4 linked regions of the Lonchura striata genome follow. The protein of the gene in region 1 interacts with the protein of each later gene in a biochemical or structural test. Links are inferred from orthologs where the notes say so. Each region holds a gene or a part of one and is shown in the gene's direction. Other genes may lie near its edges.

Region 1 (7,846 bases):
ACGAAAATAGCTCTTTCCATGCATCTGTGGGGGAAAAACAAAGAGACAGGAGCCTTTTGTTCTTTCTTGACTTTTCTTATTCATCGCATTCCATTTTCAGGGTGACCCATATGCAGAAGTCACCCTGCTGCCATTTCCCAAAGGAAACTGGGGACAGCACGCAGTGTCCTGACAGCCAAATTGCCTCTTGCCCCTGTGCTCAGGCAGCTGCTCAAAGCACACATCACTTCTTTGGGCAGAGGAGAGGAAGGATCTGGGCCTACAGGCGTGTCCTGCCCTTAGAGCTGACAGCTACAGCTGCATCAGTACAACCTACAGTGGGGGACCCATTGCCATGATTGATCTGACCACATGGATTAGACCACTCCGAGTTCAATTAACAGAGCTACCCTGATTTACATAGCTGAAGTTATGGAAGCAACATAAATGGGTGTTTTATATGCACTTGAAAACTAGGACAGCCAGTTCAGATATACAATCAGAGACCTCCCTGTCTTTGCAGCTTGTGGATCTGAGCCTACACATAAGACAGCTGTGAATTCTGAAGCGTTCATTTGCTTTTCTCTTCCCTCTTTACTAATCTCTTTAAGCCCCTCCACACATCCAAGCTGGGCCTGTGTTGGAAACTTTCTACAGATTTTCTAGAGTTTCTAGGCTATATTATCAATGAAGGACCTAGACTCTCTCATCATTCTGCCATATTTCCTGGCAAATTCACCTGGCTCATTACTACTCCATAATCAGGAATATTTTGTAATTTTTAAAATTAAGTCTGAAGGACTTATCTGGAGGACTTAACTGAAGTTCTTTGCTATTCACATTTCTTCTTTAAACTCTATGTGACAAAAGCTGCAAAAGTTGTAGAGAGAGACCTCTGAGAAATACTGTATTATTTCTCCACACCTCAGAAGCATAATTGCCAAGCTCTGCCTGTAAAGCCAAAGCGCCGAGTTTCAGGGCAGTCTCATCACTGCAATATAATCGCTCCTCCAAAATATCTTTACGAAGCTGCAGGTAAAACTGGTGCCTTGTCAAGCCATGCCTGGAATAGAAAAGGGTTTAGGAACTCAGGAGGAGCTTTGAATGGTATCCCTAAATGCTACCAGTTTTCCTTCAGTCAGCAGAATTTTGCACTTACTGAATAACATTAAAGTGGTTGACAAAAAATTTTATCCTTAGAAAAAGTGTGAAATTAATGATGGACATTTTCTTCTTGGGTTGGTCATTCCAGCCGTCTGGAGCCACTTTGTAGAGTTTGGTCTCCTCATCCAAAAAGAAGAATTCTTTACCTGAAATGAGAATTTTGGGTTCTGTGATAAACCTGGATATACTTCAGCAGCATAGTTCTGCTGTCTTCATAGAGTGCATCACTAGCAATAAAAAATAAATTGGATTGGGGATGTCAGCTAAGATTTAGTTCTCAGCTTTAACTTCTCAAATTTTAGTTATTGCTCCTTTGATGTAGAACTTAGGACAGTATGTAATTTTGGATTACAAATGTTAGATGCTGGATTAGTATGGTATCTGAGAAATCACTCAAGGACTCATGGAGCTTGCATTCTTCTCACCACTCAGGTTCTGCACCCCTTTGTAATCCTCATGCCCACACACAAGGTGTGCTCTTTCCCAGTGCCTCAGCTGTGCCTGCCATCAGAAGGGGACCAGGGAGATGTGGGTCTGGTAGATGACACAGCTGAACCTGTACTCCCACTTATATCTAGGAATAAACACAGGCAGCCTTTCCCAGTGCAATGCTTCCTGGAATTTCTGCTGGACCTGCATGGCTCAGTGTTATTTGAGTGCAAGGCTGGGATACAGCCTTTTCTGCCTGGGAATATCAGTGAGTAAATGTTGTATGGCTGTGCTGTGCACAGTCCTAGGGCAGACATGCTTTACACCAGTGCAATGCAGTTTAAACCAACATACCTTACTTTTGCACAAGCTTTGTGTCTGCTTCTACCCAAGGATCTTAAAGGATCTTTGAATTAATTCTTGATGAATGATTATTTGATGCATTCTTGAATGATTCCTTGATTAATTCTTACTGGAATTCATTGATAAAGTGACTACAGAGGCATTGTCTCATATATAAATAACTGTCTCGTTACCTTTCAGGTAAGCCAAGCCAAAGTAGAAATGCTCCACCAAGTTTGCATATGCCACCACAGTGTTGAAAACATCTCTTGCCTTGGTCTTGATATCACATTGCACCTCAAGGCACTGGCCATTGAGTAGAATCACATTGAGATCCCTTTGGGACAAATAGGATTTCCCTTTTTTAGTCTAAGAACATGCAAGAAAGAATGAAGAATGAGTGCCAAGTACAAGCAATGCAAGTTCCACAGCATTTTATATTGAGGCCCACTAGTAGCCTGTCTCTATGCAACTGATGGAATTGGTCACAACACCATGCTAATCTCTGCCTCCCTTCTCATAAATTAATATCACAAACTTTTCTTATTTCCTTAAAACCAAAAGAATCACAACAAAACAGATGAGCATACTCAAATTCTCCAGGTGCCAGAGTTATTCTAGATTTGGTGCTACTTCCAAATTTGTTTTGCTCTCATTTTTACAGCTATCTGCTGTCATCTTTCTACCTTACCTTGATGAAAGGTAAAGTATCTGCTTGCAAGCTGGAGAAGTCCCATGCATTGGAACTAGATGTCATATTGCAGATTTACTACACAGTCTTTGTCTCAAAGGTCTAGGGCTAAAGTGAACATTCTTAGCTGAGAAGGATAAATCAAGCTTTTTTTTACACCAACAGAAATAACTAAATAGCACTAAGAATTAATGGACACCCTTTCAAGTCTCAATATCTCTGCAAGGAACCCTAACTTGTTTTGAGAGGAGGACATGGAGAGAATACTGGCTTGAGACTCAGGTGCTATTTACAAAGAGCCCTGACTGAAATGTCACTGGATTTGTTCAAAATCCTTAATGTTCATTCTTACCACAATTGATCCAGGCAGCTGTAAGGTCACTGGTGGTTCACTTGACAAAATAATAAATTCTGGACCTGAAAACTGCAAGGAGGCAATTTAGAAATTTTGTAAGTCTTCTTAATGGAATGAAGATCCCAAACACAAGTATCAATGAAACCCATTTCTATTGATCTGTATGCTGGACCTAATTGACTTCAGTGTTGAATAAGGTGCAAATGCTGACTGGTGACTTCTCTCTCTTTGGTGTCTCTCCTTTGTAGACTCTCCAGGGTCTAAGTAGGGCTAAGCTCATGTGGAAGCCTTTTCTTCTGTAAAGGTACTTAATCAAAATCCATTTCCTTTGCAAGGTATCTATTTTCATGACACTTATAGAAACAATTTATTCTGAGACCTTTTCTCATTTGATTCCCAAATTACTTTGAGGACAGTCACAGACACAGAAACATACAAACACACCACTGTGATTGCTTAAGCCCAACTTCCCTAAGAACTAGACTGAAATGCAGAGCTGCTTTCTTCCCCATAATAAAGGCTGACTGATGGTTCTTATTATTAGACATTGTATTCTTTTGTTTTAATTGCAAATAACTTCAACAGTTTTAAGCTCTTTTTTCCTTGCTGAGTATCCATCTCAACTAGTTGTATATATTGGGTTTTTATCAGATACATCTATGCTTTTAGATCCCTTAAGCAGACAGAATAATTAAATGTCTTCAAATAATAAGATGTGAATCCTTCCAGCCATTCACCGTGACTTAGTAACTTGACCCATTTAGATACTTAAAAAAAAAAAGAAAGAAATTTCATAGCAGTATGGTCTTACCAACAGACAATGCAGTTTTGCATCACATTAAAGAGGGAGTAGCACTGTGTTGTAACAGTTGCTGAACTCCTGTGAAAGGCTGTTATTATCCCCACAAAAACCATAATCACAACATTTAAATCATATAAATATAATGTATAAAATAAATATAATATAAAATTCATATGAGGAAATATAATTTTCCAAAGTATCTAAGTGAAGCTCTTGACCAAATATTTGTCACTGGTCACTGCTGAGCTTCTGGACTGGGAAGAGGTGAAAGGGTTCATCAGCCTGAAACCTGTCCCTTCTTGTTCCACAACAGAAAACTCCATATGAAGGATCATGGTGGAGTTTTCTGTGAATAAGTTATTTCTGAATTTTTGCAAACCGGAAAAGACTGCAAAACAGCATACCTTTGAAAGAAACTTTGTCCTTTCCATTTAACAGAGTCCTACTACAACTTAGAAAGTAGAAAAAGTCAGTTAGGAGAACTACTGTCTGGGCCCATTCACTGTCAGCCTATGCTTTCTGTCCAGACATGCACTGTAAAAAGAAATTTAAGTCCTTTGAGCATCACTGGCTGGCAGGCATTTGGGTACACTGTCTCTGTAAAGTTTTTGCTGTTCTGAAACTGCTGTCGAAGTGGTTGGGGAAAACAGTCCATATGGTGCTTGATGCTGGCAGAAATCACATATGTAGGTCAGAGAGGGTTCAATTATGAGCTTTTGCTTAGTCCTTACAGACAATTGCTTTCACTGCCTTCGGTTCTGACAGCATAACTGGATCATGCCTAATTTGGAGTCTGTCAATTTAGAATACTCATCTAATAAGATGACTCAGTAGCTAATATGCACATCATTGTCAAACAAAAATTAGATGAGAGGCTTCTCTTTAGTGATATTTACATTTTGAAATCAGCTTATATGTTTTTCGTCATTCACCTTTTCCTTCCTGTGGAACAAACATTTCTGTGATGCGGCAGCTGCTGAGGAGTCCTTTGTGGACACAGAGAAGGTGGATCCCAAGCTTATCAGGTTCTGTCGGCTGTTCTTCGCAGTTCCACCCGGGATTTCTTCTACAGCACTCACCGACCTTCAAAGGAAATGTGAGAAAAAGATCTAACATGCAGTCAACACAACAGTGACCTGGGGGCAGAGATCTTAAGGTACAGTAACTACTGAATATGATGAAGTCCAGGACAATGTCTGTTATAAGCTCCTTAATGTCTCTTTACAAAAAAAGAAAAATTTAACAGGAGTATAACTCTAGATTTATTTATAACTCTCCGTTATAAATAAATCTAAACTCTGCTTTGATTCAATAGAGTCAGGTTTGTTTCTTTCCTTCATTTGGTGAGCCAAATGCAGCTGGTTTAAGTTTGGTGAAGCCGACAGGCAAAAAGTGCAGCCCCATTCCCTTCTGGGAATTCTACAGGATGAAGAAAGTTCCTCATTTATTATTTTCTCAAGAAAAAAGCTTCAGAAAGCCTTAACGTTTGTTGTTACATTATTCAGAATTTTTCCAGAAATGGGAATTAAATTATTTGAATACTAATTCATTAGGATAAATTAATGTCCTAGGGAACTGAGGGATTTTTTAATTTAATTAAGAAAAAGGTGTGTGAAACCTCAGATCAGAAAGCTGTCTCTGTACTGTAGCTTTGAACAAGAAATGATTATGTTGTTCGGGAGGGGTTTTATTGAGGTGGATTTTTGTTAATTACATTTTTTCAGCAAATGCTAAAGACACATAGAAGCTTTTCCATTATCCTAAAGTTTTATCATTTTCTTTTGCACATTGAAGATTTACATCAGGCAACTATTCAAGGAATTTCTAAAAATTTTTCAAAAATTAACTAGAGTAGTTTCTCATCTCTTCTGCCTAGTATCCAATAACAGGGAACATGGGAGCAGTTCAAAACTACAGTACGTGGAGTTCAGAGATGTTAGGAACCATTTTTTCCCTTAAGAGGGGGCCAAACACTGGAACAGGCCACCTAAGAGATGGTCACTGGTCCAAGCCTGTCAGTTATTAAGAGTCATTTGGAGATGACCTTAATAACATCCTTTAACTTTTGGTCAACTCTGAAATGCTCAGGCAGTTGGACTAGATGATTATTGAGTCTCCTCTCCTCTCCTCTCCTCTCCTCTCCTCTCCTCTCCTCTCCTCTCCTCAAAATCCAAAATTCATTATTAAGAAGGCTTTCTTTTACTGTGGAAAACACTTCCTGTTATTACTCCTGTTAGGTGAGATGTGCCAGATTTTACAGTTGTGTCTTCTTTAGATATAGACCAGAGCCTTGTTTACAAGCTTCACTTTGTGAGATGTAAGTTATGTTAATTTGGCTTCCTACAGAATGAGCATGATGATATAAGTAAGCTTTATAGATAGTAAACCCATCACTAATTTTTGTGTTGGTTGTACTCCTACATGGGAAACGTGATTTCCAAAGTAATTTCAACTCCACTGCTGTAATGGTACTTGTAATAGAATGGTGACTGTGGTAGACATTCAGTTGCAGATGCTTACAGCCAGGAGTGGGGTTTAAAGTTCTTGAAGTTCTATGGGAAGCAGCTTGCTGGAAATTTGGAGAACAGAGTTCGTCCTTCAGCAGAGGAGGTGAACTTATTCTTGGCAGCATGATTTTAAATCAAGTACATTAAGATCATATCTAGAGTTTTAGTCAGAGGCATGGAAATTACTGTGAAGTACTCAGTAAATAAATCCTCTGTTACTCATATAACTGTTAGATATATGATGCATATATAGATGTTGGTGAACACATACACAAATATGTGTGTGTGTAGTTAGACAAGTAGACAGAGACTTCTTTCTTGACAAAAGCAGCCACTATCCCGCAATCTGCTTGTAGATCTCTCTTGTTGCAGTTTTACAGGTGTACTGGGGTATCTCATATTGCCCAGATTATCATGGCTGATTTATCAGGAAGTTCAAACTGTTTACTTAGGACACATTTAATTGGGAGTTGATCTAAATTGAGCATTTCCTGTGGGCCTGAATTACTCGTGTCATGGTTAAAAGAAGAAACTCCTGTTTAACTGGGTCAAGAACCCAATTTAAATGGGATGTCTGTAGGGATTACATGGTGCTTAACTATGGGATTCTGGGCTTTGTGATGCCTAGAGACTGACAGTACTTGCATCTCTTTGTTTGGAAGCTGCACTGTGCTAACACCCAGTCTAGAAAATTCTTGTTTGGCAGCAGGGGTGTTTCCCTGGCTATTGAAAAGGACTTAGTATCAGTTGTACAATCCTCACTTTTCTTTGCCAATGTCTACAGGGCTGCTGTCCATTCCATGGCTGAAATGAGGCTAATCCTCATGACAGAGCAGAGGTCTTTACTGCTCGTGACCCTGGGTTTCCTGTAACTCTCCAGTACAGTGGCAGTGCAGGGCTGGACATGACTGACACAAGTGAGAAAAATCAGTATAAGGACTGAGATGGAAATGCAAATGAAAATTATACATTATATACATGGTTTCACATAACCACTACAGAACACATAAGGTGTGACAGCACTTTAATGTGACAGCAAGGCTAGACCACATCCAAAATCTGAATGTGGACAAATAAGGACTCTGGCAGAATGCCTTGACAGGGAAAGTGATGACTATTAATACCTTTTCAATAGATTTTTCCCTTCATAAATTATATCATTAGTAAGGTTAAAAAAGACCTCTAAGATCATAAAATCCATCCTTCCACAGTGTCTGTGCAGCAGTTTCCCAGCTGTTTCAGTCACAGGGGACTAATGCTGATTCCCTGCCTGGGGGAGACACAGCTGGGGGCAGCTATTCTGGGAGGCCTGTGGCATCTGGCAGGACACACTGGTACAGAGTAAATGTGGAATTCCTGCATCTGCTTTGTATGGATCGTTCAGGGCCCAGGTTTTTTGGACTTGGAGCCAAACCAAGAGTAGGTGAACATTATTTATTTATTCTACATAGTAGAATATTATGTATTTATTACGTTATTTATTCTATATAAATATAATAATATATAGATATAGATATAGATATAGATATAGATATAGATATAGATATCTATTATCAAAGCAGGCTCAGATGTCAATT
Region 2 (7,209 bases), on another chromosome or scaffold:
AATGGCTAACAGTGTTTCTCAGCTTTGCCTATGTAGTGAACTGACATTTCTAGCAAGGACAAACAAAGGTGCCATGTGATGTAGTAAAACCTTACAAGAATCAAAGATTGCTTAAAAAAACAAATGGGCAAATTTAAGTAGTGAACACATAGATGTTCAGTCTAGCCCCCAAGGACATTTTCTTTTAGCCACTTCATGTGATATCTGATGAAGTAAGTGCAAGTTACAGGTTTGCAGTTGAAATACTGTGCTGGTTAGCACCTTTGTTTTCCCCAGTTTCCCAATTTTCTGCTCCACTGTGTAAGCTGTTGTGTTACTTTAGAGAAGTCACTCAGCCTCTTGCTTCCCATTTCTGCTGGTAAAATTGGGAACTTGCATTGCTCTGTTCAAATGACATTCTCAGGAGGGACAAGTATCTGTCCTTTGTTGTCTTTACACACAACCTGTTACTGTGAACTCCTGGCTCTGGTTGTTACTGTGCCCCTAAAACCAGAATAATGCTACCCCAGAGAGCAGCCAACATTGGAGTGCCCCATTCTGCAGTCATATGTACAACAGGTGAAATTCTTATTTCATGCATGACTCCAGAGATTTGAATGTTCAGGGGATAGGACAGCACACCTTCTTCCCTACTTTGGTGCAGGGAAGGTGCTGTATATGGCTGTGTTGATGAAGGTAATTATATTCTGGGTCTTTTTCTAATCCTAAACAAGATAAAAGGTCCCTGATTGTAGAGTGGAAGAGTGATTGATGTGCAAGAAGTCTGTCAATAAGATTGAAATAGGTTTCAATAAGTTGAGCTGGAGAGCACTTAAGGGGTGTCTGTGCTATTGGCAAGAATTGTGATGGCTTCTTTTTCACATCTGTTAAATATTCAGCGTGTGCTTTTAGCAATCTTTACCCTTTTAGTGAGGTTGAACAGTTCTGACTGGATTTTATGCAATTAGTATACGGTGAGAGTTTGTGACGATTTGCTTAAATTCTGAGATAATTTCACTTTGTCTGCTTGTGGTTTTCTTCAAATGTCTGAGCAAGTGCACCATGGTGGCAAAAGCATTTGAAGAAAATAAATGTCAAAATCCCATGTGCTGCTACTGGTGGAAGTGGGAATTCAACTAAGATGTGCCAGCTTTCATAATAAGAATCCTTGTGTGCTTTTTAGAGAATAGAAGTTTAGTTTTTAGGGAACAGATAAGTCTTGTCTGTTTTGGGTGTTGAATTACAGAGAGCAAAAGCATTTAGAAAGCTGTTCATTGAATAGGCTCAGAAAAAAAAGTCATAGCGGGCTGTGGTTTCTGAGAGCAGGAAAAAGGCCAATCTTATGTCATAGGCTAATAAAATTTATTAAGCATGAAGTCAGCAAAGTTGTGTAGGAAATCCTCTGAAACTGGGGTGGAATAGCAACTTACCGTCAACAATCTTAGAAAAATAAAAAGTTAAGTAAAATATGAAAGAAAATAACATTTGGCCTCTCTTTGTATTGTAAAAAAACTTGGCAGAGGTTGAATATCCTTCAGAAGGGAGCATTGCTCACTGTGAGTAACCTCTGCACAGATCTCCTGTGAGAAGAACTCTTCCATAAGCAAGTCACAAAATATTTTCTTGGTGCACATTTTTTAGTACAGTACTGAGAAGTTTGGTCAGAAAGTAAAATCAATGATTGCAAGTGTTTTCTAACAAATATTTGCCTTAGGAGATGTCTAGCTTTGGGAGATGCACAAACAGGAACACGGTTTCCAGCTGCCTGGGTGGAAGGTGCCATTTCAGGTGGTGAACAGAACACAAGCCCATGAGGAGCTCCTTCCCCAAGCCAAAGTGTGGCCTGAAAGGGAGGTTTTGAGGGAAGCACCCCTCCTGTACTGTGATCCCAGTGCCATCCTCAGCAAGCCATGGACAAAGAGGAATAGAGAACGCGGAAATGCTCCAGTGGCATCTGACAGTGGCACCTCTGGGTAACTGACCAGTGTTTGTTTGTGGAGTCCGAGTGAGACCTGTGCATTTCTCCATTGAGCTGTTTGCCCCATCGCTGGGCAGGGCAGCTGTTTTTGCAGCAATTGCACTGCACTGTTAAAGCCTGGTTTGCATTTATGCTGGGTAGCATGGGGACTTATATTTTATTAATATTTTATTCAGAAGGTAATACCTCCAGACTGTGGTCTTTGCTGGGTGAAGTCACTCTATGACTTAATTGCTCAAAGTCTTTCCCCACATTTGCTCTCAGTGGAAGCAGAGTGCTGGAGGGGAAGCTGTTACAAGTGAGAGCCTTCCCCCACTTTCCCTTCCATCCCAGTGTGCAGGGGAACTGGTGCTCTGCTGTGGTATCACAACACTGGAAACCAAAAGCCTGAGTTTGTGCTGGATGAGTTGCTGTCCTACAAGGAACATTTAGGGGAAGCGACTGATTTTTGAAAGAATGGCTGTGAGGAAAAGGATTTGCTGTTTACCTTAGAACTATTAATAAAAAAAAAAAAAAAAAATCAAGTCTTCAGTGCTTCTAAAATCTTGCTCTCTTTTTTCAAATTTTTTTTAAACTGAGTTGCTGGATGATGATATCACTGCATTTTATATACTTTTTTTTTTTTTTTTTTTTTTTTTTTTTTTTTTTTTTGCAATAGACCCAGTTGGATTGGTGGTTACAACTAGAAAATCCCAGTTGAAAAATTAATTATCCACATACATCCCAGAACCAAAATCTTTGAGGGCTGGGGGCTAATTTAGATTCAATCTTATCATGCTGACAACTTCTTACCAGCTCTAACTTCATCTTTCCTCCTGTAGCCCAAAGCTTGGTTGGCATTCCCGGCTGTAGGTGAAACACTTTGTCACTCCCATGGTTAGGAAGGACACGGGAGGATGCATTGCTCTGGAGATGCCGCTTTCCCTGTTGCTGACTTGGTGGATTGATGGACTGGTACATGATGAAATGTGGTTGCTGAACCAGGAAATGTGTAAACAGGTTGCACAGTGAGGAAGGAAGGGGTGCAGAAATCCCATGCTGCTGCCAGGTACTCTTCTAGTGTGTGTGATGAGCTGATCCCTGTGGCTTGAAAATCAGTTCTCACCTTGTAGTGCTCACATAGGAAGGGTGAGAGCTCATTACTTTGCCCATGTCAGCCTCTGACAGAAAGGATGAAAGGGATTCATGCTTATCCTTAAAATCTTGTGCTCCAAAGTGTGCTGCTTTCCTTTTTGCACTGACTAGACTGGGGGAGAGCCCAGTCTAATCTGAACATTCAGGATCTTTACTGGAGAATGTGCCAAAGCTGGGTTCTGAGTTTCCATAGCACGGAGCATCTGGGGGTCAGGCAGGCAGGGACCTCCAGGCCTGGCTGTCTCTGAGCAGTGTAGGACACATCTCCTGCCCTCCCTGTGATTTACTGATTTTGGGTGGGGAAATGACTGTTCTACTCTCAAGAAATTAAGTGTGGGCTTGTTCTTATCTGCTCCAACTTTACCCTTCCTGCTGTAGCTCAGTGCTGGGCTCTAGATGAAACTCTCCAGTGCTCCCGTGGTCAGGTGGATTGGTAGGGAGCATCATTCTGGAGATGCCACTTTCCCTGTTTCTGCCTTGCTGGCTTGATGCGTGATGGACTGACCCAGGAGGAGATGTGTCTGCTGGCTTTTCCTGCTCCCAAGTACCTCGTGCGGGCTCCTTTCTGACAGGGAAGGACTGCTTGGAAAAGCCGCTGAGCAGCATCCTCTCGGGTTGGCGCCGCTCGTCCACTGCCGAGCCTCCCGCGGCGGGGCTGGGGCGGACGGGCAGCACTGCCCGGTGCCGCCGCGCTCCGGGAGCGGGGCCGACGCTCTGCTGGGCCCCGTGGCTGGTGCCGCGGCCGGACGCGGGGCGCTCCCGGGCTCTGCTCGTGCTGCCGGGGGTTGCTGCCCGCCCTGAGGGGGCTCTGCCCGTCCTGAGGGGGCTCTGCCCGCGCTGTGGGGGCGCTGCCGCGGGGCCGCCCCCGCCCGTCCGCGGGGAGCAGCGGCTGCCCCGGGGCGCGGGGCCGTCGCCGCGCCCTCCCCATTGGCTGCCGATTACGTCACCGCCCCGCCTCCGGGCCGCCCCCCGCGCTGCGATTGGCCGGCGCGGCCGCCCGTCGTTGCGGGCCCCGCCCCCGCCGGGCCGTACATTTACGCGGTAGCAAAAGGGAAAGTAACGAGGATGGTGCGGGCGGCGCGCGGAGCGCGGGGCGGGCGGCGCGCGGGGCAGCGGGCGCGACTCGCAGCGGCTCCAGCGGCTCCTCCCGCGGCGGCCGCCGCCACCTCCGCGCACCGGGCCGGACCGCGACGCGCCGGTGAGTGCGGGACAGCCGGGCCGCTGAGCGGGGGCACGGCGCGGAGCGGGGGCCCGCGGCCGCGGGAGCCCGCGCAGGGGCTGCCGCGGCGGGGAGCGCCGGCCCGGCCCGGCCCGCCGCGCGATGGGCGGCAGCCCCGGCTCCCCGCGCTCGGGAGCAAAACTTCAGTTTCCCGCTTTTCGCGGGCTCTTTCGTTGTTTTCCCTCGCTGGGGGAACTGGGTTGCCTCCCTCGTTTATTTTAAAATTTTAACTGCGTCAGGCGAAGGCGCTCGGGGCGTCCTTATCCTAGTTCTGAGCCTAAAATAGGGCGAGGGGCGGGTTGGGAAAAGAACGGGCTGGGAAAGCCTCCCGAGCGAGCCGCCGCTGGCCCCGCTCCGCCGGCCGCGGCGCCTCCGCCGTGCCCCGGCGCTTTGTGCGCTCCGGAGGTGCCGCGGGTTCGTTCCGCGGGTTCGTTCCGCGGGTTCGTTCCGCAGAGCGGTGGCTGCTGGCGGTGGCGGTGCCCCCCGGCCGCCCCCTGTTCGGGATGGGCATCTCCTGACCGGCCCGGTGCAGAGCCAGCCGGGGCGGCAAACGGGAGCTGCGAGTGCTCGCCCCGCTGCGGGGCTTGGTGGAGTTGGTGAAGTTGGTGCTGGGATGGGTTTTTCAGAGGGAGCTGCGGCTGCTCCCGAAGTTGCTGGTGGAGGGCTGTCAGGGCCGGCTTCGGATATTTTCCTCTTTGCGGTCTTCCTTGACTGCCGAGGGGGGATTCTAATCCTGCATGCTGCGTCCTAGCAAATGGGAAGTCAAAGGTGGGGCAGGCAGTGACCTTGACTGGGGCAGAGGGGACCACTCTTTGAAGAAGCTGTGAAATGTATTGGAAAGCAGGGAACTTGCCTCACGAACTGCTGGAGAACAGCAGCTTTCCCGAGCCTGGAACTAGGGGTTTAACTGAGACTGGATTCACCTCTGACAGGGGGAGGGAAGTGCAAGGTGCACGCTTAAAAGGATCTCTCAAAACTAATTTTTTTGTTTTCTTCTGGGTATTTTTTTGTTTAGCCTTACGTGTTCAAGTTTGTAACTGTCTCAGAAAATTTATTCACAGGCTAATTTTATTCCAGCCTGCTGGAAAAGTTGCATATCACCCCTGACACATTCAGCTATTCAGCTCTTACACGTTCCTCCCTGTAGTAGACTCAGCCCAGTAGTTGCTTCCTTTTCAGTGAGCAACGGGATAAGGGAACGTGCCTCTTGTCATTATCAGTGGTGAGCCTTGCAGCCTGGGGTTTCAGAATAGCTCAGTACCGTCTGCATGTAGCTAAATGCCATCCCTGGGTGTCACTGTACAGTCCAGGCTGCTCATGTGGGTTCTGTGTGCCATGGGCGCACATGCAGATAGCTGAAGTATTCTCTGCAGCCCTGAAAAGGGCTTTTAGCAGCTACTGTGAGCTGGTAACTGTCAGAAGGGGTTGTTAGGTTAGGGATAATGGGTGTCGGCAAAATAAGTTGTTGGATCTGTAGGTTTACGTGATTTCATGATCTGTTTTCATCACCTTTTTTCTTCTTTCCCTTCTTTTCCTTTTTCAGGGTGATCTTGAGTTCTTCTTAACTTGCTAGTGCTCAGCCTCCTCATGCCTCCATCTCCTTTAGACGACAGGGTAGTAGTGGCACTTTCGAGGCCAGTGAGACCTCAGGATCTCAACCTGTGTTTAGACTCTAGCTTCCTTGAATCTGCCTCTTCTGCTGGTGAGAGCCACTCCAGTCTGCTCGGCGCAGCTGTCGTGTCCCTAAAGACTGCTAATCTCACGTATATGCCCTCATCCAACGGCTCTGCACGCTCCCTGAGTTGTGGATGCAGCAGTGCCAGTTGCTGCACTGTGGCAACGTACGACAAGGACACTCAGGCCCAAACTCAAGCGAGCACCAGCAGCACCCACGCCGGAGCCTCCCCCGCCTGCCCTGCCAACCAAATGGTCAACAGCAATGAGAACGCCGGCAGCCTGAGCCCGCTGGGCGGAGTGGGGAGCCCTGTCTCGGGCAGCGCCAAGCAACTCGCCAGCATCAAAATCATCTACCCCAATGATCTGGCCAAGAAGATGACCAAATGCAGCAAGAGCCACCAACAGAACCAAGGGCCTGTCATCATTGACTGCAGGCCCTTCATGGAGTATAATAAGAGCCACATTCAAGGGGCTGTCCACATTAACTGTTCTGACAAGATCAGCCGGAGAAGGCTCCAGCAGGGCAAGATCACCGTCTTGGACTTGATCTCCTGCCGGGAAGGCAAGGACTCCTTCAAGAGAATCTTTTCCAAAGAAATCGTAGTTTATGATGAGAATACCAATGAGCCAAGCAGGGTGATGCCTTCCCAGCCACTCCACATAGTGCTGGAGTCACTCAAGCGAGAAGGCAAGGAGCCCCTAGTCCTTAAAGGTAATTCTTCTCATTGCCCAGACACAGTGTGTTGGTTTGCTTTGCAGTGTGTGCTCTCTGCTGATAGTGGCATCTTGAAAGCATCTATTTATCTCTAGGAAGTCCTGTGTGCTTCAAGTTACCAGTGGCAAAGCAAATGCCTTCCATGGACAAATCATGGAGCTGGTAGCAGAGAGATGCTTGCTTTTCTCTGGATGTTGTCCTTGAGTAGCAGGAGGGGTGAGAAGTGGAAGGAGGAGGAAATGTGCTTCCTGGTGTCTGGCTGTGCAGACAAAGAATTTCCCCCAGTGCTTATTCTGAGTATTTATAACCCAAAGAGCAGAGGTCCAGCAGGGGATACTTCTCTTTTAGCTTAGCAGCCCTGTTTTAGTCCATGTAAAACTGGACTCATAGGTGCTGAAGGTGGACAGTGGGAGAGTAGAAGGAGGGGGCAGGACAGATGAGGGAGGTCAATTGGTCTGAGGCATTGTGTCATGGGCCAGTCAGCAAAACTTGAGGAGCAATCAAGCC
Region 3 (7,966 bases), on another chromosome or scaffold:
AGCACCGAGAGCCCCCAGCCCTCTGCTCTGCCTCAGTTTCCCCCTTTGGCCGGGCTGTTGCATGTCTGGGGACCCCAATTCTCCCCTTGCCCTCCCCGTCCCCCCCGGGAGAGCCTCTGGAGGTCTGGGGGTGAGAACTGCGGGTGTCTGTGCGTGCCGTGGAGCGGGGGGTGGGGGCTCAGCTGGCTCCCCCACACTCTCCTGCCTTGTCCCCGTTCCAGGGCAGCTCCGTGCTGGACATTTATGGTCTGGCCCCGCAGCCCCGGCGGCTCCCGGTGTCCTCCCGCGTGCTGCCCGGGTCGGAGCATCCCGTTCCCGTCAGAGTCACCACGGCACCCCCCGTGGCAGCTGCCACCCCACGCTGAGCTTTTTATAGCCCCGACCTGGGGCTGCGTGCGCCCGGGAATGGGCAGATGGCCGTGGGACACCGGGGTCACGCGTGGCACCGGCTGAGCCGAGGCTGCGGGGTACAGACCGGGAACGCCCCGGAACCGCCTGTCATTACCGATAAAGATAGGCCCGGGGCAGGGAGCCAGGGGTAGCCGTGAGCCCCGGCTGATCAGCGCCCGGGCACGGGCACCCTGCAAATCCCAGCGCCCACCCTGGGGCTGCCTGGCGGTCATCCTGTCCCCGTGTCCCCACCTGGGTGTCAGGGGGGATCCCTGGGGCTGCTGTGAACAGGGGTCCCCCCGCTGCACCCCCGTGGCCTTGCCAGGGTGGCTGGGCTCGGGTTTCCTCCCCCGAAGCCATCGCGGTGCCCGCGACCTCTCCCGGGGTACAGCTAATCCCGGCTGCGGGGGCTGCCGCTGCCACCCTCCTGCCTCCGGTACCGCCGCCACCAAGCCAGGGATGCGGGGGGCTGCGACCCCCGGTGGCTTTGGGACCCCCGGCAGCTCTGCGACCCTCCTGTCTGACGTGTCCCGAGGACTCGTGGCCGAATCCCCGGGCTGGCACCGGCCCTGCCCCTCGGCAGGTCCCGCCGGGCCCGGGGGATCCCTCTGGGGGCGGCCCCGGTGGTGCCGCGGGATCCCCAAGACGTCAGTGACCGGTGTGACGTCAGCGGGCAGGTGTGATGTCACGGAATCCCGTCGGGGGCGGGCGACAGCCAGAAGCGGCGCCGGAGCGAGGGAACGGCTCCCGGTCCCGGGCCGCCACCTCCGGTACCCCCGTGCCGCCACCTCCGGACCCCTCTGGTGCCGGGCTGCCCCCGCCCCGGCTGCTGCTCACGGGGCCGGGGATTTCGTGAGGCCATGCAGGGTCCCGGTACCGGAGGTCCCGGCAGCACCCCCGATGCCGGCAGCGGCTGCCGGGACACCGGGGCACCGGCCCGGCCCCGCGGTGGAACCGTACCGGGGCCGCTGCCGCTGCAGGGGCACTAACGGGGGAGCTGTCACCCCCGGGGGCGCTGCCAGCCCGGGCACGGCGGGCCGGGTGCCCCCAGACCCCCGGTTTGTCCCTGGGAATGGAAACCGGCGGGTACGGCGAGGGACGGGACGGAGCCGGTACCGACGTGTACCGGGTCGGTAGCAGGAGATCCCAAGGGAGTACCGGGGTAGTATCGGAGGGTAGCGGCTCAGAAGCTCCGCGGTGCTACCGGAGGGTATCGCGGGAGGTGCTGGAGTCGTACCGGAGGGTACCGGGATGGTACTGGAGGGTATCGCGGGAGGTGCTGGAGCCGTACCGGAGGGTACCGGGATGGTACCGGAGGGTACTGAGGGGGTACCGGCGTGGCACCGGAGGGTGCTGCGGGCTTGTGGGTCCCTTCCGCTCACCGTCCGCCCTCCCGCGGGCCCGGGCCGGCTCCGCACCGGCTGAGCTCATCTTTCCAGCCCGCGGGCGCTGTTCCCGGCGCCGGCGCCCGCCAGCAGCCGCCGCTCTTTCCATCGCCCCGGCCAGGGGCTCCCCGCGGGGACCGGGCGGGGGCGGGACCCCGCGGCACTCCCCCCGCACCCGGCACCGAGCGGGAGGAGCCCGGGGGTACCGGCGCCGCTGAGCACCGGAGATACCCGCATGGGCACTGGGCATAGCGGCACCGGGGGTACGGGAGATCACCGGGGAGAACGGCGGCGGGGGGACACCGGGAATGGGGCAGTGAAGATACCGGCACCGAGGGGGCTCCGGGGATGCCAACACCGAGGGGACACCGGGGATAATGGCACCAGAGATCCTGGCGCCTCGAGGGCACCGAGAATGGTGGTACCGGCAACGAAGGGACACCGGGGATACCGACACCGAGAGCCTACCGAGGCTGGGCACTAAAATGATGCCAGCACCGAGGGGGCACCGAGGGTGGGCGCAGCGGAGTACCAGCAAGGAGGGGACACCGGAAATACCGGCAGCGAGAGAGGGCCGGGGCTAGAGGCAGCGGGGGACGCCAGCCCCGGGTTCGCAGCAGCGAGGAGACACCGTGCATACCGAGGAGCCACCGGCTGCGAGGACACCGGGGATACCCCTGACACCGGGGCCTCCCTCCCCCCGCCGGCGGCCCCCGGTGCCCCGGGGGGATATGTGGGGAAGCGAGGGGCGCCCGGGCTATTTTTAGCCGGGGCCGCGGGGGTATTTTTAGCCGGGGCCGCGGGTGCGTCAATGGAACCCCGCGTGCGTCACGGCCGCGCCCCCGCCGGGGCCGCCCCCCCCGTGCGTCACCGGCCCCGCGCCGCCCCGCGCGTCACCGAGCGCTTAAGAGAAAGTAGTGGCGGGGCCGGAGCCCGGCGGAGCCCGCGGAGCGGCGGTGGCAGGAGCAGGAACCGGAGCGCCGCCGCGCCGGCACCCGGGTACGGGCGGCACCGGGATGCGGGGAGCGGGTGGGGGGCACCGGGGGCAGGGGGTCGTGCTGGCAGCGGGGGCGGGCTGAGCGCAGCGGCGTGGGGTGTCCCGGTGGCACCGGGGGAGTAGGAGCCGTTGTCCGGGGCGGCACCGGAGGGGTTCAGATCGGGCGTGGCAGGTGGCGCCAAGAGGATCCGGGTCGGGCATCCCGGTGGCACCGGCGGCTCAGGGCGGTGGGCGTCCTGCAAAGTGGATGGATGTGGTCGGGTGTCCCAGTAGCGCCCCGGGCAACCGGGTCGCGCGTCCCCGTGGAGCCGGGGCTCGCGTGTCCGAAGGACGCGGTGGAAGGGACTCCCGGTGCCACCGGGGAGAGTCGGGGGTCCCGGTGGAAGGGACCGGGCTGCGTGCGCTATGCGGGATTGCCCCTTGTGGGTATCCGGTGACACCGGGAGGAGCCGAGTCGGGCGTCCCGCGTGGCGCTGGGAGGTGCACGGGATCGGGCGTCCCAGCGGCACCGGTAGCACCGGGAAAACCCGGGAATCCCGCAGCCGGCGGGAGTTGGCAGAGCGAGAGGTCCCGGTGCCGGGGGTCCCGGGAAGAGCCCGGCACCACCCTCTCCTCCGTGAGGAGCTGCGCAGGACCGGGAGCCGCTAGTTGGGCCATGCGGGAGCGGGGGCTGGTTCCCCCATCACGGCAGCCTAACCGGGGCCAGCTGCAGATGCAGGAAAGCCCCGTCTCAGGGGCAGAGCCACCCCACACCGGGCATCACCCCGGGATCCCCGAGCAGAGCGGTCACGGAACCGGAGAGGGCAGCAGCGGGGCAGGCAGGAGCACGCGGGCAGCGCCGGGCACTGCGAGCAGGGATGTGCCCGCAGCCAGCCCCGTGCGGGCAAACCCCCCGCTGCCCCCGCGGGCCTGGCAGCAGCCGCTGCGGCATTACCGGGCAGCAGGTGCCGGCAGGGCCGTGGGCAGCGTGAGCCGCCCCCGGTGCCACCGGCTGCTCTCGCCCGCCCGCGGCCCGGGGCCCGGTGCCAGCGGCTGCCACCCGCCCGTGCAGGCGGCAGCCCCGGGGCTGGGCACGGGCGGCTGCCCCGCGCTCCCAAACCAGGAATCTGCAGACAGAGCCCGGCCGTGGGCAGCGCCGAGGCTGCTGCGGGAATCTGTGCCCGGTCCCTGGGGGGGGACAGGGCAGAAGGGACCCCAAATGCTCTCAGCGAGCGGGTGAGAGCCAAAACCTTCAAACAACCGGGAGCACGGGAAGGGTCGAGGCGTTGCATTTGCCAGGGTTTTCATGCAGGCAAGGAAAACTCCCACTGGCACAGACCGTGTCCCCCAGGGCGTGTGCCCAGCACAGTCCCCTCGGCTTCATTCAGGGACAGAAGGCAGCTGGGGGGTCACTGTTCCCTCTGAACCCAGCTGGACACGCACAAACTCCACTGCGACCACCAGCAGGGGGCTGGGGGCTGGTGCCATCCCGTGGGTACCAGAGCTGGACCCACGCTGGATATTTTTAAACCCAGCTCCTGGCGGGTGTCGGCTTTCTTGGTGCCCGAGAGAGCTGCCCAGATTTGGCTGGGGGAATCCGGGGGCTCTGGCAGCAGGGCCGTGCCAGGACGTGGCCGGGGGCCAGTGCAGCGTGACCTTTAAAGGTCTGCGAGATGAATTACATTATCGTCTTGCCATTGGGGTCACTTCTGGCTTGGCTTTCAGCTGGACACAGGACTCCGCTTGTCTTATGTCCCACCAGCTCCACGCACAGCCCCGGGGGGCTCCAGGGACTGAGGGTGGGCTCCTCTCCCCCTCACCTGGAGGGCTGCCTGCACCAATTTTCCCAAAAAGCCCCAAAAGGGGTTACGGGGGAAGTGAGATCCCCAGAACCCAGTTCAGCCCCAACTCTGGCTCCCTTGGCCAGCCCTAGGGCTTGGGAATCTGCTGGCCACATTCCTCCCTCCTTCCCTTTCGGGGGCTTTTGCTAAGCCAGCGTTTTGGGGAATGTCCTTTGCACCCATTGGCTGTGCCGTGACCTTTCTCAGGGACAGCGGTGGCCGCCACCACGCAGCCAGTGGCTATGGAGGTGCAATTCCAGCACGAGGGGAGCATCCCACGCTCCCCACCGTGTCTCCATCCTCTGCCTGGATGCCGGGGGGCGGTGTCGGGGCGCCGCTGACGCCCCTCTCTCCCCGCAGAGATGCCCTGCATCCAGGCGCAGTGCAGCACCACGGGCGCCGGCCCCTGCGAGCGCTGCCCGGCCGAGCTGCTGAGCCCCGAGGGCGGCCGATTCCCCATGGAAGTGGCCGGAGCCGACCTGGCGGCCGCCCCCGCCCTGCCCAGCTTCAGCACCTTCATGGAGGGCTACGCCGGCGAGTTCGACGCCTTCCTCTACCAGCTGCCGGCGAGCGGCCAGTCCAGCGCCGCCGCCGCCGCCGCCTTCAAGCTGGAGGACTTCCAGGTGTACGGCTGCTACCCCAGCGCCTTCGGGGGGCAGCCGGACGAGACCCTGTCCTCCAGCGGCTCGGACTGCTACGGGAGCCCCTGCTCCATCCCCTCGCCCGCCACGCCGGGCTTCCAGCCCCCGCAGGCGCCGGGCTGGGAGGGCTCCTTCGGGCCGTACTCGCCGCTGCCGAACTACGAGGGTGGGCAGCCCTGGGCCGAGCCGGCCAAGGGCGGGGGGTCGCAGCCGCCTTTCTTCGCCTTCGGCCCCCCGGCCCCCAGCCCCGGTGGGTCCCCTGCCGCCCTGAAGGGGCAGCTTGGCGCCTCGCCCCGCGTGGACCCGCGGCTGCTGGACACGGACGCCTTCCCCCCGGCCCAGGGGCCTGCCAGGGGTTTCGGGGGGCTGCCCCTGGCCCCCGCCGCGGCGCTGCTGGAGGGGCCGGCGCTGGCGCCCAGCAAGGTGCGCAGCCCCGGGGCGGGCGAGGGCCGCTGCGCCGTCTGCGGGGACAACGCGTCCTGCCAGCACTACGGCGTGCGCACCTGCGAGGGCTGCAAGGGCTTCTTCAAGGTAAGGGGAACCCCCGGGCCGTGGCTGCCGCCGGGATACTCCCACAGTGCTTTGCGGCGGCAGGAGGATGCTGCGGGGTGTCCCGGGGAGGGGCAGGGCAGGGAGCACGGCCGCCGAGCCCTCCCCACGGACACGGAGCCGGATGCTGGGCTGGAGAGGGAGGCAGGGGAGGACAGAAGGGCTTTTGTTCGGAGCTCAGCGCCCCGGGCTGAGCTCGGCCGCTCCTTCCCCACCCGCAGCGCACAGTGCAGAAGAATGCCAAGTACATCTGCCTGGCCAACAAGGACTGCCCTGTGGACAAGCGGCGCAGGAACCGCTGCCAGTTCTGCCGCTTCCAGAAGTGCCTGGCCGTCGGCATGGTCAAAGAAGGTAGCAGGGTCCCGTCCCGGGTGGGGGCACCCAGCAGGAGCGGGGAGTCCCCTCTCTGCAGCCTCTCTGGCTGCACTGAGGGCACACACTCACTGCAAGTTCCAACCGCAGTGGTCCGGACCGACAGCCTGAAGGGGCGGCGGGGCCGGCTCCCCTCCAAGCCCAAGCAGCCGCCGGACACGTCCCCGGTCAGCCTCATCACCTCGCTGGTGCGGGCACACATTGACTCCATCCCCAGTGCCACCAAGCTCGACTACTCCAAGGTAGGGCTGGTGCCACTCCATGCCCCGCCCAGGGCCGTGCCAGGGCTGGGGCTGGGTCCTGACCCATCCCCATCCCAGTTCCTCATCCATCCCCATCCCAATCCTGATCCTGTCTCCATCCCAATCCTGATCCTGTCCCCGTCCCAGTTCCTGATTCAAACTCATCCCTGTTGTTAGCCCAGCAGTTCCTGACTTGTTCCCATCCTAGGTCCTGACCCACCCCCATCCCAATTCCTGATCCACCTCTGTCCCAGGTCCTGACCATCCCAATTCCTGACCCATCCCCATCCCAATTCCTGATCCATCCCCATCCCAATCCTGACCCATCCTCTCCCAATCCTGACCCATCCCCCAATTCCTGACTCATCCTGTCCCAGTTCCAGGAGTCAGCCCCGTGCCCGTTTGAGAAGGAGGACTCGGTGGATGTGCAGCAGTTCTATGACCTGCTCACCGGCTCCATGGACGTCATCCGCAAGTGGGCCGAGAAGATCCAGGGCTTCACCGAGCTGCCCAAGGACGACCAGGACCTCCTGCTGGAGTCGGCCTTCCTGGAGCTCTTCATCCTGCGCCTGGCATACCGGTGAGCCCCGGGGCAGCGCGGAGCAGGGGGAACCCGAGCCGTGCCCAGGGGTGACGCCCGGCTTTGTGCTGCCAGCTCCAAGCCGGAGGAAGGGAAACTCATCTTCTGCAACGGCGTGGTGCTGCACCGGCAGCAGTGCGTGCGCGGCTTCGGGGAGTGGATCGACGCCATCCTCGAGTTCTCCCAGAGCCTGCACCGCATGAGCGTCGACGTCCCCTCCTTCTCCTGCCTTGCCGCCCTCGTCATCATCACAGGTGAGACCCAAACCCAGCTCCGGGCCCGGCCCGTCCCCACCCGCAGCCGGTGTCTGTCCCCGCGGTCCCACAGCCTGTGTGTCCCCCCAGACCGGCACGGCCTGAAGGAGCCCAAGCGGGTGGAGGAGCTGCAGAACCGCATCGTGGGCTGCCTCAAGGACCACGTGGCGGCAGCAGGCGCCGAGCCCGGCCGCTCCAGCTGCCTCTCCAAGCTGCTGGGGAAGCTGCCCGAGCTGCGCAGCCTCTGCACCCAGGGCCTCCAGCGCATTTTCTACCTCAAGCTGGAGGATCTGGTGCCGCCGCCACCCATCGTTGACAAGATCTTCATGGACACTCTGCCTTTTTGAGTCCCAGGCAAGGAAGGGGCTGCCGTGAGCTCCTGACCTGCCTGGGGACATCTGGGACCCGCCCTGGGCAACCCTGGTTCAGTCCAAGGATGCCCGGGAACCCCCTGGGCACCCCTGGGTCACCCCTGGGATGCCTGGAACATCCCCTGGGTACCCTAGATCAGCCCTGGGATGTTCCCACCCTATGGGTGACCCCCATAATGCCCAGAAACCACCTGGGCATCCCTAGATCGCTCCCAGGATGCCTGGAACCTGCCCTGGTCACTCCTGGATCAGTCCTGGGATGCCCGGGACATCCCTGTGGATTCCTGAATGACCTCTGGGACACCTGGGACCCCCTGGGCCATTCCCAAGCCTTTATGTATACCCCTGGATCACCCCTAGAATGC
Region 4 (7,696 bases), on another chromosome or scaffold:
ACTTGTTGGGGCAAAAATCCGATGTTTATTGAGGTCCTGTGGATCCAACAGCACCGGAGGGGGCCAGCCAACAAGAGCTACTGAGGAGTGCTGGCAACATGTTCCATAGGGAGAGGGAGGGGGGCCGATCAGCCAGTGGGGAACAGACAGGAGTGACTCTGTGGGGATGGACATGGGGGGATCCAGTGAGGGGGAGACAGGGGAGGGGTCCCAGGCCCTCATCCAATCACTCGGTGCCCTGGATGGAAGTTTCCAGAGGTAGGGGAAGGGGCACCGACTGACAGACAAGGCACTTGGGAAAGGGCAGGGGACTGACTCGGCACCTTCCAGGGAAACCGACACTTGGGGAAAGGCAGGAAAACTCAGGGAGAAACCAATACAGTATGGGGGTACACTGGAACAAACCATGACAGAATAAAGATGTAATAAAGCATATAAAAACACAACTCCACAGGGCTTGGCTCTTCTCTTGCTCTCAGGATCAGAGGGGAACAGTCGAGCTGCTGCCGCCGTGTGGAGTCCAACCTGTTACTGCTGTGAAATACAAAGTTGTGTTTCATGACAGGCACATAAAGGCAACCTGTGCAGTTGTGGTTACGAAATGTGTGGAAGAAGGCCATGAGACAATTATAAAGATGAGTTCTAATAAACAACCGAGGAAAGCATGAAAGAAGGCTTTTGAACCAGTTTTTTGTTTGCAAATAACAATTATAAGTCTTGTTATAGATAAAAATTGATCCAGCCAAATTAAAAATTAAAAAATAAAAATTGTATTATTAAGATCGAATTATCTCTCAGCCAGCCACAAGGAAACAGACAGTGCCGAGCCCGGGATCGGGACTGGGTGTGTCACAGAGCAGATAGCCTCAGCAGAGGTTTCCCCGATGCCCACACACCACCCTCCTGGTACAAGCAGGCAATCCGTCTTTTCTTCACATTCAAAGTCCCACATATTCATAAAGTCTCTTTCCTCTGTGTTGGGATGGAACAATTCGGTGTCCAGTGCTGATGAATCTTCTTGATGGAGTTACGGGAACACGGCATTCAGATGTATCAACCAGGAGGATTTCAGTGATCCCGATCTAGAATAGATGGTTGCTGGATGATCAGCACCTGGGCGTTCCTGTATCACCTTGAGAAACGACCCATCTGTGGGTGAACCCCATGTATTAGTTTGCAAATGAGGTTTTGTCAGAAACCGGTTTTCGAATATGTGGGGGCACCTCCCAGTGCCAGCATGTGTACTTCCAACAATATAAAATATTACACTTATCATATTATACTGGAACGAATTACACTGACTACATATAACAGTCTTGAGCTGTTTTGCGATAAGAACTTTTGAATTATAACTTTAGAATGTTGCTTAGTATTAAAGTTATTAAACTGTAGCTTTAGAATGTATAACTCTTAACCTGTTTTGTAATAAGAGCTTTTGAATTATAACTTTAGAATGTTGCTGAGTACTAAGGATTTTTAAGCTGTAGCTTTAGAATATAAATAATTTAAACAGAAAGGGAAGGGACCCTATCCCAAGCTCCTGGAGAAGGAAGATGGACATCAAGGTTGCTGATAGATGATTTCAAAATGGGAAGTTGGACATCACTACCATAGATTAATGATCCCCAAAAATAGAAGTTGGACCCCACCATCTGGACACACATACTGGGATATACACAATAGGTTATAGAAATTGGAAAAGAACCAAATATCACCATCATGTTGATGATGAGGTATAGAATTGTGATGTTAAAGGTAGAAACGGAAACTGTTGAAAGCTCATGTAGAAACTGGGAAAAGCTTATGAATCTGCATTACTATGATCAATAAATACCAGCAAGACCAACAACCAGTGTGCAGTGGGAGGGGAAAACCCCCACCACTGTACCCTGCGCTGTGTTTGCTCATACGTTACCATATTAATTAATAATTTGAATTGCTGCTTGATATATTGGCTGAGTCATGTGTCTCATTTCTAACACTGCTTTCTTCCTTACTGTGGGTGAGCATCTGCTCCTAAGAGCAGCCATTGAGCTGGAACCTTAGTAATGCCTGATCTGACTGGAAAGGATCATCACCATCTACTAGGGTGCCACCAGGGAAAACCCAGGACCCCTGGAATCCTGAGGGTGTGTCTCCTGGGTATGTGTGGCAACTGCTATGGAGAAGCCCAGCTGCTGCTGCCCAGCCCACTGCTTTCTGCCACTGCCTTGGGCTTTCGTGCTACACCCTTACCCAACACACTGTGTCCACCCAACTATTGCAGCTCCTGCTAAAGGCTGCAGTTTTCTGCTACATTTTTTTTGTCACCCTGGGTGACGAACTTCAGCCGTTCTAGCCAGCGCTCCGAGATTCCTGCTACAGCCCATTTCTCCATCTGGACGGGCACCAGGACTGGCTTCCCCTGTGGGTTTGTAAACAGAGCCCCTTTTCTCTCCGCCCTCCCGGCTGAATTTCCATCACCGTGTGGAGAAGCGGCTGACCTTGCGCCACGGCGCCCCCTGCAGCCGGGGGGAATCACTGCATGCGCACTGCCAGGCCAGGAGCCACCAGTGCCCCTGCCGGCTGTGAGCAGAACTGCACCAAAGGGGAGGGTGTCTGCGGCTGAGACAAGGCTGTGATTGGGTTTCTGGTATTTTGTTTGTTGTTGCTGCTGCCATTGTTGATGTTTGTTTGCCTTGTTATACATATATATCTATATTTATATCTATATATCTACTAGTAAAGACACGCTATTCCTTTTATCCTATCTTTTCCCAAAAGACCCATAATTTCAGAGTTATAATAATTTGGAGGGAAGGGAGTCACATTTTCTCTTCCAAGAGAAGTTCCCACATTCCTTGGCAGACACCTGTCTTTCAAACCAAGATACCTAAAAAATACTTATTCTTTCACAAAGCGAAGTTCCACCTGTCTAAGGGAAAAAAAATCCCCAATAGTTAATTTGAGGTCATATGGTTATTGCAAAAGAATCCTGATTTTCCTTTCATAGTCTCAGTGTTTCTATCAATTTCTCACTCCTTGTGCCTTTACTTTGCCTACTTGGAAAGGTAAGCTCTTCAGCAAAGTGCCCTTGCAGCCATAACACAATTGCATATGTATAGCACAGTCAGTTTTTAGTTTGCTTTTAGTGCTAAGCAAATAACAACTTGAACTCCTATGCTAGATGCAATAAACCCCCAAAAGGGTAGAATAAGCAAATATTTTGCTTGCCAACTTTGACCTGGAAGTGGTATTTTAATTTTTTCTCATGCATGGCAGCACCTAGCATTCCTGCCATTTCTTGACTGATCTCTAGACTTGAAGTTATTTATGAATTTATAAATACAGGAATGTATCTTTTAGTGATTGATTTAAGTTAAGGCAATCACTGCCTTTCAGCAGGAGCTTTAACACAGTCACTGGACCTGAACCAGGATTCTGTTGTAGAAAGGAGGATGCACTTCAACTGATATCCCCTCCCCTCAGGGATGCCTGCTAGACCTGTTGGGATTACAATCAGAAGAGTGGGTAATGCTATGAGCTCATCAGTCTCTGTGGTTCAACAGGCTTTAGTTTGTGTCATGTCCATTGTGTCAGTTTCTTATGTATGCGGGAAAAATGCAAGAAAACTTTATAAATGTTTTTACATGCTCTCTAGGTTACAGAAGATTAGAAGTTCAGTGTAATATGGAATTAGTGAATTAGTGAATCAGTGAATAAGTCTTACCTCTTTGCCTGCCTTGCTTCTCTCCCTGTTCACCTGTATATTTTTATTCAAAATATTTTCAATGCAATCTTGCATTTAATAAAGCACACTCTTGTGTTTGTTGTAACATAGAACAAAACAGTCATAAAACTTAAAATTCTTAATTATAAGTGAGATGTGATATTCCCACTGCAATTAGGCTTTCTGGGTAGGGTTAAAGTTCTTTCCCTTTTTGCAGTATGAAGCTTTTAGGGTCATTGCTAGTCACGACCTTGGAATTACACTCTTCAGGGCTCTAAGCCAAATGAAGGTGTGGGAAGCCTTTTCCAAATCAACCCCTTATTTCTTTCTCCTGCCAGGCTGTTCTCAGTTCTCAGAGAATAATGATTCCTGCTGTCTTCTTCCAACTCTACAGCCCAGCTGAGCCCAGGATGTGGCAGACTCTAACTTCTGTGACACCTGTTGAGGGTGCTGGAGGCTACCGCCCATAATTTGCTGGAGCTGCTGTCCGTAATTTGGTGTGTGTTGCTGTTGATTTGGGAAATCTGATTAAATTCGGTGGTTGTGCTGAATTTTCTTTGAAGACTTGAGATGGCCATATTTGGCCCTCTGGCTTTTTCTTCATCCCTGACTGAACAGATCCTTGTCTGCTTTCTCTGTAGTAACTACGGCTGCTTCATCTCGGAAATACGACTACCGCGGCTGTGACGGGTCTCTAACGCGGCTCCCGGAGCCAGCGCGTGTCCGGGATGCGGCGCGACCCGGGCCCGCGCTGGCCCCCGCTCGGTGTCTGCGCGTGACGCCGCAGCGCGGGGCCTCGTGCGCCCCCATCGCGCCTCGCGGGGCCCCGGTGCGCAGCGCTTTGTCTGCGCGGGGCTCGCGACGGGCCGCGAGCTGCGCCGCCCGCGGCTCCGGCGCAAGAAGCACTGCGGCGCCCCGCCTCCTCCCAGCACGGGCAGCTTGCGTCCCCGATCTAGCGGCTCTGGGCGGTGCCGCCGCGCTCCGCCCCGGCCGGTGCCCGCGGACCTTGACGCGGCGTGCGGGGCGGGGCAGCGCCCGGTGGCGGTGTCAGCAGGGCCCGAAGCGGAGGCGAGCGGAGCGGGGTTGAGGGCTGTCGGCCGGCAGGATGCTGGAGATCCAGCTAGACGATGGCGGCGTGGGGGGGTATCCGGGCGATGATTACTGCTCGGGGTCGGTGATGTCGGAGCGGGTCTCGGGCCTCGCCAACAGCATCTACCGCGAGTTCGAGCGACTGATCCACTGCTACGACGAGGAGGTGGTGAAGGAGCTGATGCCGCTGGTGGTGACGGTGCTGGAGAACCTAGACTCGGTGCTCACCGACAACCAGGAGCACGAGGTGGAGCTGGAGCTGCTGCGGGAGGACAACGAGCAGCTGCTCACGCAGTACGAGCGGGAGAAGGCGCTGCGCAAGCAGGCCGAGGAGGTGAGCGCCGCCGCCTCGCGACTGTTTTGGCCACGGGCGGGGGCCCCAGTGCAGGGCAGTGGGAGGGCCGAGGCGGTGGCGGGGGCGGCTCAGGGCTGCGGCCTCGGCCGCCTCTCGCAGACCTTCGACCGACTGCCCGCTCCCCCGCGGTGGACCTGGTTCAAAAGGAGGCGGGGGGGGCGGCGGGCGCCCCGGGGCATCGGTCGCCGGTTCCTTCTAGAAGCGGAGGGCGGGGGCGGGACCGGGCGAGGCGCATCCCCTCCCGCGGGACGCGGTGCTCCTGTCCCCGGGACGGCCCCGGCAGGCCCGGCCCAGCCCGGCTCCTCCGCCGCCCCGCGGGGCCGGGGCCACTGCGGCTGAGCTGCCCCTGACAGCGGGAGGGAAAAAAGCCGAACCACAAACCGCAATAGCTGCAATCCTGTGGAATTCTTGAAGAATTAGGATTTTAGTTTGAAATGCCAACAGCATCCGGAGGGGTCAGCATAATTTGTGGTGTAAAATATAGTTTTTAAAATGGGTAATTTGTGTAGTCATCCAGCATTCTCAATGTCGGCTGTAAGCTGTTTCGTTGCAGCAAGGAATTGCCTTTAGAGTATAATATCTTACTTTTGAAGCTTATTTGTATCAAAACTGTGCCTTGAGTTTTAATAAAATCGTTCCCAACTCGGTATCTGCCGTTTCCTGGAGCGTGGATGCGCTCTCGGGAGAGCGGGGGCAACGTTGCTCAGCTGGTGGCGTTGTTTGGAAGTGGCTCATGAGAAATCCAATCCCTCTGATGGAGAGGAAGAAGAATCCTCCGGTTACAAGGACTCGGATGTAGACAAGACAGAGGGGAGGTGATCTGCACGCTGTCATCTTGCTGCGTCTGCGCCTGTCCCTGGTGAAATAGAACATCCTTTCAGCCTTGAAGGATGGGGGCCATAGGGATTGCTGTTCAGCTTCTTGGAGTGACAGTCTGTGAGCTAGGATAGAGCTTTGTTGCTGAAAACAGTCCATCCTAACCACATCATCCCCACCACATCATCTCCTTTAAACTTCTTTAGAAGTGGGGTTTTTCTGTCTTTAAGACTAAGGAAGAGCAGAAGATTTAAGATTCACTTGATTTCCTAGGAGTCAAGTTCTGGTTTGATATGGGGTAATTAATAAAATAAAATAAGTGGTAATAATGAAATAGTTGTTGAACTGGAGAATGGTGTAAAGCAGATGTGAGATTTTCATAGACATGTTTGTGTTGCTTAATAATCATGGGCAAGAAAGTTGGTAACTCAGTGGGGAGGACACTTGTCGTCCATTACTAATACTGAAAGCAAGAGCCAGTCAGTTAAAAGTTTCAGTCCCAAGTTTTAATTATGTATTAATAGATTAGTAAATGATCATAAAATTCTTTTGAATGCTTGTAGGGGTCAAAAATTATTCTAAGTACATGATGCTTATTTGTGTTGTGTAGAGACAGCATTTTGCAGCTTCTGAGAAATAATTTTTAAAATTTACTCTTTATGGGAAAAGAATGGGACTGCCAATGGGGGTTGGAACAGTCCAGTTGGAATCATCTTGCGTCTTTTGACTGGGGTGCATTTCTGTTCTGGTCTTAATAGATACAGGATGTGTTTTCTGGAAGCAAATGTACTGATGGCAGTTAAATTCCCCGCAAGGAAACTTTGGAACCATGGCAGAATACCATTTACCAATGGTGTTTTTAGAGAGTGAGATTTAAAAAATGCCAGTGATGATGATGATGAAGAAGATACTCTGTCATTGTTACACATAGCTCAGTGTAAGTGGGAGAAGTGTCTGCAAGGAGGCTTGTTATCAAAAGGAATAGATAATGTGTTTCTTATGAGAATAAATGAGAATTCTGCCTCTACAAGCCCTTATTACAAGGTCGTACATGGAATACATGGCTGCTGTTTTCCTCCATATATAACAAAGTACATTATTTCTCTGTACCTGTTTATCCCATGCACTGTTTACTCTGCAGTAAATTGTGTGTTATGGGGGTGAAAGTCTATGTATGACAGGGAATTCTGCTGGCTACCAGGTTATTGTACACAATCAAAACCCAGAAAACTTTTCTTCTCAGAACTTGCATTGCTGCTCTGAAACACTGCCACAGTGACCAGGGACTGTCCATGCCACCTCTCCACCAGCATCAGTTTCCTAGGCTGTGACTCAAGTCTTGGGTGGGATCTTCACTTCTAACTGGGAAGATCCTCCCCTGGAAACAGGATTTGACCTTAGTTTTGATTCCTCTCTGTGTATGCGTGCCAATTACTACAATTAAATTGACACTGAGAGGCTGGAGATGAAAAATGGATCTGTTCTCTTGCAATATCCTGTCAAAGGACCCTGAGTTATAGTTACTTTATATTAATTTATTAAATTCAAAGTAACTGGAACCACAGGTGGGCATTGTTCTGGCATTAAAATGTGCATTGTATTGGCTGATTACCACTGTGAAGAGCCATCACACCTTGCTGTTCATCTTTATGCAGCAGTTGTGCACAAACAGACTGTACAGGTATGGTTTGTTAAATTAGGGCTAATACTACAATCATAGAAACACA

What was found.
Region 2: the proteins of MAPK8 (region 1) and DUSP10 form a complex in vitro, tested with the Homo sapiens proteins (2 studies listed by BioGRID, with this or other methods). The link is inferred for Lonchura striata from reciprocal best matches to the Homo sapiens genes MAPK8 and DUSP10.
Region 3: of the proteins of MAPK8 (region 1) and NR4A1, one has a biochemical effect on the other in vitro, tested with the Homo sapiens proteins (2 studies listed by BioGRID). The link is inferred for Lonchura striata from reciprocal best matches to the Homo sapiens genes MAPK8 and NR4A1.
Region 4: the proteins of MAPK8 (region 1) and MAPK8IP3 form a complex in vitro, tested with the Homo sapiens proteins (3 studies listed by BioGRID, with this or other methods). The link is inferred for Lonchura striata from reciprocal best matches to the Homo sapiens genes MAPK8 and MAPK8IP3.

The regions. Positions count from the first base shown.
Region 1 is NC_134609.1:14,838,206-14,846,051, forward strand, and holds the start of MAPK8 (mitogen-activated protein kinase 8), read left to right. Parts: upstream 1-4,832; 5' UTR 4,833-4,918; intron 4,919-7,846. Other genes in the region: FRMPD2 (FERM and PDZ domain-containing protein 2), read right to left, coding at 1-24, 904-1,042, 1,139-1,289, 2,109-2,283, 2,958-3,029, 3,981-4,108. UniProt on the Homo sapiens protein: Serine/threonine-protein kinase involved in various processes such as cell proliferation, differentiation, migration, transformation and programmed cell death.
Region 2 is NC_134605.1:8,119,768-8,126,976, forward strand, and holds the start of DUSP10 (dual specificity protein phosphatase 10), read left to right. Parts: upstream 1-4,196; 5' UTR 4,197-4,289; intron 4,290-5,853; 5' UTR 5,854-5,897; coding exon 5,898-6,699; intron 6,700-7,209. UniProt on the Homo sapiens protein: Protein phosphatase involved in the inactivation of MAP kinases. Has a specificity for the MAPK11/MAPK12/MAPK13/MAPK14 subfamily. It preferably dephosphorylates p38.
Region 3 is NC_134629.1:6,183,550-6,191,515, reverse strand, and holds the start of NR4A1 (nuclear receptor subfamily 4immunitygroup A member 1), read left to right. Parts: upstream 1-4,952; 5' UTR 4,953-4,954; coding exon 4,955-5,764; intron 5,765-6,003; coding exon 6,004-6,133; intron 6,134-6,244; coding exon 6,245-6,396; intron 6,397-6,773; coding exon 6,774-6,976; intron 6,977-7,051; coding exon 7,052-7,230; intron 7,231-7,320; coding exon 7,321-7,577; 3' UTR 7,578-7,966. UniProt on the Homo sapiens protein: Orphan nuclear receptor. Binds the NGFI-B response element (NBRE) 5'-AAAGGTCA-3'. Binds 9-cis-retinoic acid outside of its ligand-binding (NR LBD) domain.
Region 4 is NC_134618.1:1,663,369-1,671,064, reverse strand, and holds the start of MAPK8IP3 (C-Jun-amino-terminal kinase-interacting protein 3), read left to right. Parts: upstream 1-4,681; 5' UTR 4,682-4,814; coding exon 4,815-5,132; intron 5,133-7,696.